Linked DNA regions of Neurospora crassa OR74A. The protein of the gene in region 2 interacts with the protein of the main gene of each other region in a pairwise test. Links are inferred from orthologs where the notes say so. Each region holds a gene or a part of one and is shown on either strand. Other genes may lie near its edges. The genes, in order: NCU09208 and bdp-2.

Region 1 (4,383 bases), on a different chromosome or scaffold from region 2:
CTGTCTCTCTTTCAGTCGCTAATCCTGACCGTCTTTTGCTTCTTGGTCCCTGTTGTTGAACTTGGAGTGGTGGAGTGGATGATGTGGGTGATGAGATCTGGGTTTCTGGTACGCTTTTATCAAAAGATACAGGTACCGCTGCATACTTAGCTATGGGACCGGTATAAACAACCGCTACCAAAATAAACATAGAACGCCAGCCCAGACAGGATGAGTATAACTAGACAAGAAGAATTTCAACCTGACAGAAAAGGAAAAAGGCGACGGAATACACATAGGTCTTGTGGCCCATGATCCATTTAGCTTACTGTGGACTGACTGACTGACTTGTTGAAAACTTCAACCCTCCTCAGCGAAGTCAAGAAGCAAAACGTAGTAGAAAGAGAGGATGTCCGGCAAATTAGGAAGAAGGCGATAATAATGAAAGGACCGAAGAAAAGAAGACAACCCAATACCACAGCGTTTTCCAACTTCCTTTGTGATCTTTTCTGCCAACTTTCCTTCTCGCGACACTCGTCGTTGTCCTCTTACTTCACCGGTGAAATCTCGTACCCAATCAACACCTCCGTCGACGTACCATCCCACCCCCTGGTCCCCGCCGCCGAGATCATAATCCTGCTCGTGGGATCGATATACAGACTTGAAATGACGCCCGCCTTGGGGGGACCGGGGACAACCACAAAAGGCACTTTGGAATGCTTCGTCGCTTGCGTCTCGCCCTGCAAGTCCCACAACCGCAAAATGTCGTGCGACGCGCAGATAATATGTCGCCCGTTGGCCATGGGCCGCACGCAACTGACGGCTCCGCTGCCGTTGGGAAATTTCAGGGTGCGCTCGGGCTGCCACCCGCCGCGCGCCTTGTGGATACTGAATTCTTCGACCGTGCCGTTACGTCGGCCGGCATAGATCCAGTTGCCATCGACGGACCAGCAGGCGCCCATGCACCAGGGCGGGACGCCGCGCCGGTTGCCGATACGAGCGACGGGGTCGGGGACCCGTCGGTCCCAGATACGGATGGTGCCGTCAATGGAGGCGGCCATGAAGATGTTGGGGGCCGTTTGGGTGTCGTCGTTTTGCGGGGCAGGAGGAGGGGCTGTGTTGACAACCATGCTGGGGGAGGCTGGGGCGATGGGCTCGAAGGGGATAGGTTCGTGCTCAGTTGGGTGGATGGGGTTCTGGTCTCGTGGTGGTTGTTGTTGTTCCTGATGTTGCTGGGTTTGTTGCTCGGGGTTCGTGGCTGGTTGGTGTCCGAAGTCTGACATAGTGTGACTAGAGTCGCCGTTAAATGTGTCCATGTTGATGGTCCCGTTCTCGGCTGGCTCGATGGCATTGAGCCCGGGTCCCTGAGCAGTGTTCGTGTCCATTATTGTGTCGGTATCCCCCATTGGGAAATCGTCGGTGTGCCCTTGGTTTTTCTGTTCCTCCTCGAGTTCCATGCCCATAGCTCTGGAAAACTCATTGTCGTCGTCATCATCCCCAAAGGCATTCCCACCGCCTATTGTTTCGTTGTCCCCGAAGAGTGACCCTGCAGGACTACCGAACAGCGACTCATGTTCTGGTGACGGGACATCATTCACGGCGCCGTCGTTCGCATTGGATTGCCCCGTCGTATCCATATCGCCATGCGCGCCATTAGAGAAAAAGCCGTTCAAAACTGGCTTCGAGTTGTTACTCTCGAAAGTGTCCGTGATGATCTCGGGATCGCTCGCCTCGGCTGGGATCGGAGCACCCGAAGTCGGTCGTAACTCAATGGCCGATATTTGTCCACCGCTGCCCTCGAACCGCCGTATAACCGAGCCATCGTTGAGGTCCCAGTCCAGCACCGTCTTGTCCCAACTCCCACTCAGCACACTCTTCTCATCAGGCGCCAGTTGTAGCACGCTAACAGCATTAGTGTGCCCGTTCGTCCGCAGGCAGTGTATCCTCTTTCCCTCGTCGTGCCTCACGCTCTGTAAGTTGATGCCACCGCTTTCTAGACCACTCAGAGCCCACAAAGCCTGACGGTGCACCGCTAGACTGTATACCGGAGACAGAATCCTGTCGTCATCTCTAGTGTTCTGTCCTGTCCACTCCTGGTTGTCCCAATAGCTCATGAGCACTCCGGACTTGACAACACTGTCAACAAACGGATGCTTCTGGGCGACAGTGAGTTGTTGCTTGCCATTGATTGTGGCTATGCCGTCAAACTTTCGAATGTAGCCGTCGGATCCGCCCGTCAACCAGTAGCGCATGTCCGGGGTGACGGCTATGGCATTGATGCTGGTGGCTTGTGGGGCGGCCATGGTAGGAACGATGTCGTAGGTGGAAGCCGTAATGTACTCTGGTCTTATCGTTGGTCGCCATTTTGCCCCTGATCCCGAGCCTGAAGGTGTCGCGGAGACGCGTCTGGCTGTCTGGGACGTGGTTTGGTCGGCGGCGTTTGGGTCGTGGGCGTTTTGTGCTTGGGATTCGTCGAAGGGTTCTGCTTCCGGTTCGGGTTCTGGGTCTCGCTCGGGCTCGTCTTGGTCTTCCTGGTCTTCCTCTTCGTCTTCATTAAAGTCTTCGCCGTAGGTGTCGTTCTCGGCATCATCAGCGTCCTCCATGAGCTCGTCCTGCTCATTGTCGGAGCTTCCGTATTCTCGATCGTCTTCGTCCATTGTCCGTGTTGGTAGTGGTTCCGTAGAGGAGTTCAACTATACACGTGGTTATGCCAGGCATATAAGGGTATTGTATTCGATATCGTGTGACTGCTGTACCCAAGAGAAGAAAGTGGGAAAGTTGTGGGGGAAAGCAACCGGAAAGAGATGACAACGGGAGGAAGACGTTCCCAGTCCTGAAGGTTCCCGAATCGAAGCTACACTACATGCAACTGCGGCAGGCATTGATAAGGTTCAACCTCAGTGTTAAGCTTTAGCGGATCAGCAGGCCCGGAACGCTAACACCCCGCATCCCCCGCCGATTGCCAAACATAACAGGGTCAAGTCCTTGAGCTGTTGGCGGTTCAATGTGCCTGAGGTGGTTTTTGTTTGGCGGGCATGCAGCGACCACGCATTGTCCAATTACATGCAGGGCCATCAAGGTGCTTTCCATGTCAACCTCCTGGAATCAGTTCAAGATATCTTGCTGGCTAACATAATGCAAACAGAACGACGTCATGGAAATACGGAAATGAAGACAAGGTGGCAAGATAATGACAAGGAAATCCAACATGGATTGCGATACATCCAAAAGAAATCAAACCCCGAGCAAACAATGCAAACGTACTAGCGAAACCGAATCCTAGAAACAAATGAGGGCCTTATCCAACTCCGCCTCGGGTATGTATACTTCTCTTTTCTTTTCTTCTCTTCTCTTCTCTTCTCTTCTCTTCTCTTCCGAATATGACTGGGCCTAGCCGTTGCCTGGCCTCCATTATCCAAACTCAATCAGTCAGTTCCAGCCCCGTCTCACCTTCGTTCAGCACCACTACCACATACCGCCTCGAGCCCTCTGGCAACTCTTGCTCGGCCGCTTCGTCTGTCGTCTCCTCCGAGATGTGCATTGCAAGATCATGTAACTTCGGATCAGCCTTTGACAACACCTCAGGCGAACCATCGCGATTGATGGCTACGATGTAATGTGGTCGGCTTTGGAGCAGCTCAGGCGGCGCCGCGCCCTCTTCGAATACCACTACGTGCTTCTTGCTTTTAGAGTCCACGGATTCTTCGTCGCCGTTCTTGTTTGACTGTTTTGAGGATTGATCAACCGCGTAGCGGTTTCCAGTAACCAGGAGCGGATCTGTCTCCGGCAGGTGAGGAACCATCTTCATAAGGAGGCGATGCTCGGGGTTCTGGAGACGTGCCGGGATCGGTAAGTCGGTCTCGAAGGATGCTTGAAAGCGGAGTTGGGAGGCTGTAGAGCCGTCTGGCTGAAAACCTTCGCCCGGTGGCAGCGTGGACTGCGTGGTGGTTGCGAGGGAAAAGTTGCCTACGCTAAATTGTCGGCGACGAGTCTTGCTCGTGGAGGAGCTGCTCGATCCCGATGTCAAGTTGCTCCGCTCCGTTTTAGGTGCATGGAGAATTTCGTGATGAAGCTTGTCAAGACCTCCACTATGGCTTGTATGTGGATCTTGGTAGTAAGGCGACCTGTCAGGCGGATCGCCCTTGTCCAGCAAAGGTGCCGCCTCCTCGTCAGACGAATCTGCTGACGATGTTCCGGCGCTCTCAAAATTGGCTTCGGTGAGCAGCCCGCCCAAGAAGAATAATGCGGTTAGTCCTGCGCACCCGCACACCCATGAAAGCGTTGTAGTCAGCCCTCCCCAGCCCGAAACTCCCATAACGGCTACAACAAGAAGTGGGCCAACGAAACTGCCCCAGGCATTGGCGAGACTGGGTAGACTTTCAGCCTTTGCTGCGCCAGTTGACA
Region 2 (4,364 bases):
GCGAAATGCAGACGGAATCGTGAGCTGAGCGACAGGGACGGGGGCAAACCGTGCTGTTGGACTGGACAACCTCAAGAGGAAGAGACTGGACAAGGAAAGGAAGCAAATCAGCGTCAGAGGAAAGCAGTCCATCGCTGCAGAGTGGTTCGCTCGTTGATCACGACACAGAGTTACAGGCCCAGCCCCAGGTACACAGCTACCTACAGACGTCTACACGTGCTCTTCACTGCCATTGACTACGTAAGAACGGGGCATCGGTGGGCATGGGCAGGGCATGGCATTGGGGAATGGGCAGATGGGACCTGAACGGGGTGGGCGGGGCTTCTCCGCGAAATGGGCACGACTCCACGAGGGAAAAGGAGTGCCCGTGACGGGACTCTCACAAGAGGGAGGCACTAGGGCGGGCGGTGGGAAAGGCATGCCCCTGGACATCATCCCATGGGACCCGGGGAGAAGAATGACGATCCCTGCCTTGCGTTGCTCGTCCTGCTTGACGATTCCTACATCGATATATTCCACGAGCCCGTCTCTATGCTTGCTGTTTTGTGGACTGTGTACCATCTATACTTATCCCTGGAGTGAGAGGCCAATATGTTACTATGGACAGTTCCTACTCAGACACACAGAGACAAGATAGTAAAGCTAGTTTAAGTGACTGACTCTTTGCGTTTCCGGAAACCAATTACCTTAGCAGCGGGGGCGGCTCCGTTCTCTGGTCCATATGATACTACGCCAAAGCCCGGGGACAGGTTCACCAAAAGACACCCATGGAGGCACGGCCAAGGTCTCACGTGACTTTAGCATTTCCCCAGAGCGCTGCTTCTCACTCCGCCAGAGCGGGTACCGTACGTGCTTCCTTGGAACAGCGAAATACCTCTACGTATTCAACTCTTCTTGTACAACTTGGAATTGCCGCGCTCACCGACAGCTCCAGCTTTGTTAACTTTTCCTGGTGCTCGGCGATCACCTGCGCAGAATCCCCATCACCTGTCTTAATTGGGGCGCAAGTCGAAAAAAGGGGCGCCGCAATCACTACCTACCTAGGTACCTATCTGCTGCTAGTGTACGGCTAGACGGGAACTACCTACCTCCCTAGGTACATACCTACCTAACTTCGCGGCGTCGCGTACCAGCTCCAGTGCGGCATTACCCACGGCACCACACCACCTACCACAGGCAACCTAAGGGAATCCAGCGCCAAGTACAGGTAGCCGGTACCTACAACCTGTCGCCCTCTAGATGTTAGTGCTAGGGGCGTGTACAGCACCTCAGTCAACGTCAATTCATAACTCTCCCTAACATCGCCGCTGCTGCACCCGTCACCCGCGACCTGGGCTGCTCTGACCAAAACCGCCCGCCCCTTGTCCAGAAACGGCACGACGGGGAGCCCACTCTAAACTTGACCTCACGTCTGACTTCCCAGCAGAACAGCCGCAACGACATCCATCGCCGCATCACCACCACAGCCCCTATTCCGCTCTCGACTGCAGTTCCATCTCGACCGATGCCCCTCTTTCTCCCCATGTGACCAGGTCGCCCCAAAGTGCCTTGGTGCCGGATATACACGAGCGCACTTTCTGGCGCATGGCGACCGACCGCCGGCCCCGTTTAATATAACTCCACGACCCGGTCCGAAAATGTCCATTACCAACGGTCAGCATGCCTGGCCTCCGCCCTCGACCGCCGCCCACATGAACGGTATCAGGGCCGTCATCCCCCACCCCAGCCAGGACGATGGGCCCCCGCGAACCCAGACTCCCTTTGATAATTCCACCACCGCCTTGATGCCTGAGGCACCGTCCTCCGACCCCGACGACGACCAGCGCCGCTCCCACTTCGTTGACAAGTACCACAAGGCCGACGAGCGGATCGCGCTGCTGTTCGCCGATGACGGCTCCTACAACATTCCCGTCATAGCCGCCTTGAAGCGCGCCCCGACACCCCCCATACCCCTGCTCCCTCCCACGACCGATCACGCGCCGATCCAGGAGCCCCCCCGCAAAAAAGCGAAGCGCGTCATCGACGAGGACGACTATGGCGACGACGACGACGACGACGAAGACGACGACGATCAAGAAAGCGATCACCCCGTCGCGACTGACACCAAACCAGACACACAACTAACATCCAAACATTCCGCCAACGATGCCGCGGCTCGGGCACTCCTCTCCCCGTCCAAGTCCGGCAGCTCTCCCGTCCACTCGATACCCTCGCCAGGGCGGCAAGCAGACCGGCAAACAGCCAAGGAAGATGGATCGCAACCCCAGACAAAGTCCTCCGAGGATGCGCGCAGGGAATTGGAGGCGGCGCGCAATGCGACCGAGGAGGCGGCCAAGCGCGGATTTCATACCCTCTTTTACACACTCGAGAACGACAGGACAGCAATGCTCGAACAACAGCAACTGGAGGAATCCGAGAAGCAACTACAAGCAGAGATGGACAAGTCGGGACAAACAAACCACAGTCAAGGAGCCCCCAGCCAAAACAACCACGGCTCTCTCAGCAGTGCCAACCTCGGCGCTTCAAGTCTTACCCTCAAACACTTGATTGCCCGAATAGACATGAAGCGCGACCGCGTGCAGGCATCGGACGCTGAACTACGGTCGCTTATGAACGAGGTTCGCAAGAACAGGAGTAAATGGGCTAGCGAGGAAAATGTCGGCCAGGAAGAGTTGTACGAGGCACTGGACAAGGTCTTGACCGAGCTTAAGGCGCACACCGAGTACTCAACTCCCTTTTTGACCAAAGTGAACAAACGTGATGCGCACGACTATTATAATAGTGAGTTTTTTTGGGGTTAACGTATGGAACACTCGCTCGCCCAGTTTAGGCTAACACCGTGGTCAGTCATCAAACAGCCAATGGACCTAGGTACAATGGCCAAAAGACTCAAGACCCTCCACTACAAGTCCAAGGCCGAGTTTGTCACGGACCTCAACTTGATTTGGGATAACTGTCTTCGATATAACCAGGACTTGGCCAATCCTCTCCGCCGGATGGCCAATGGGATGCGCAAGGAGGCTGAGAAACTAATCCCCCTAATACCGGACATCGTGATCAGGCCCAGGGCAGAGGTCGAAGCCGAGGAACGCCGAAAACAGAACGGCGGCGAGGACGAGGCTGGCGATGACAGTGACGACGAGCCAATAATGTCATCTCGTGGACGAAAGGCCGGTACCAAAGGGACCAACAAGTCACGGAAAGCACCAACAGACCAAAAAGAAGGGACACCAAGCGTCGACCAAAAACCGATATTGCAACTCAACGGTATCCTAGCCAAGTCTCACAGAGAGGGCTCCGAGGTCGACGGCAGCAATGGATTTGGGACGCCTATCGGCGGGTCCCTTACACCCAGCAACATAAATGGTGGACACTCGGGGGTCAGCAACGCGGATGCCATGGAGCTGGATGGGCCATCACTCAACGGAATGGCCTTGAATCATGCCTTCAGAGAAGCGGAGGAGCAGGCGTATGAGGACGAAGAGTACAAGATCTGGAAACAAGTAACGAAAAAGGATCGTGCTCTTCTGGCAAAGGAGCGTTTCCAGCTGTTCAAGGACAACAAGCTAAATCCCGACGAGCCTGCACTACTGCGAACCAAAGCCGGGATGCGTCGATTCCTGAAATCACGCAAAGAGGCAGAGGCCATGGGCGTGATCACCTCACAAGGCGATGCGCCTGGTAGTGGAGATGGCAACAAGGTGGCAGAGACATTAGCCCAGGGCATGGAGGATGAGACTATTCGGAATGTCCCTGCTTATTACGAACCCCAAACGATCATACCCGATATCCCATCAAAGCTACAATGGGTCGAGGATGGCGAGGGACAAGTGATTAATCAGCATGAAGAGTTCCTTCGGCTCGTCCCTCCCGGTCAATTCACCGCCCCAGAGAGTCGGCTGACCAAGAAGTTCGATGCCAACATTCGGCAGATGCAAGAGACTCGCAAACTGTGCTCCAAGATCAGCGTCATCAAGCAGATGCAGATCCAGACTCAGGTAGGCTTTGCGAGCCCAATGAAGCGTGATTCTTTTTCACCTTGACGGCTTAGATGCTGACATGCAAATGAATAGGTATATACGAATCAGTTCCCGAAGTATAACCCGGAGCCGATGGTGGAAGCCGATATCGAGCCCACCTTTCTCGCCGGCGAAGGTCCCGTCATGGCCCCCGAGGTGTGCAGGGCGGCATTACAACGATCCGTTGCCAAGATCTTCTATCATGCGGGCTTCGAGGAACTGCAGCCCTCCGCCCTGGATACGATAACCGACATTGCTGGCGACTACTTCCAGAAGATTATCCGGTCATACAACATATACCGTGAAGCCGAGTGGAAGGAGCCACCGCCTGCATGGAAGGAAAAG

What was found.
Region 1: the proteins of bdp-2 (region 2) and NCU09208 interact in binary tests that used the Saccharomyces cerevisiae proteins (3 or more experiments, as listed by UniProt). The link is inferred for Neurospora crassa OR74A from reciprocal best matches to the Saccharomyces cerevisiae genes SPT7 and SPT8.

The regions. Positions count from the first base shown.
Region 1 is NC_026501.1:5,840,395-5,844,777, reverse strand, and holds the start of NCU09208 (transcription factor SPT8), read right to left. Parts: upstream 2,811-4,383; 5' UTR 2,637-2,810; coding exon 528-2,636; 3' UTR 1-527. Other genes in the region: NCU09207 (hypothetical protein), read right to left, coding at 3,401-4,383. UniProt on the Saccharomyces cerevisiae protein: Component of the transcription coactivator SAGA complex. SAGA acts as a general cofactor required for essentially all RNA polymerase II transcription. At the promoters, SAGA is required for transcription pre-initiation complex (PIC) recruitment.
Region 2 is NC_026507.1:3,090,851-3,095,214, forward strand, and holds the start of bdp-2 (transcriptional activator spt7), read left to right. Parts: upstream 1-1,360; 5' UTR 1,361-1,637; coding exon 1,638-2,781; intron 2,782-2,847; coding exon 2,848-3,998; intron 3,999-4,073; coding exon 4,074-4,364. UniProt on the Saccharomyces cerevisiae protein: Component of the transcription coactivator SAGA complex. SAGA acts as a general cofactor required for essentially all RNA polymerase II transcription. At the promoters, SAGA is required for transcription pre-initiation complex (PIC) recruitment.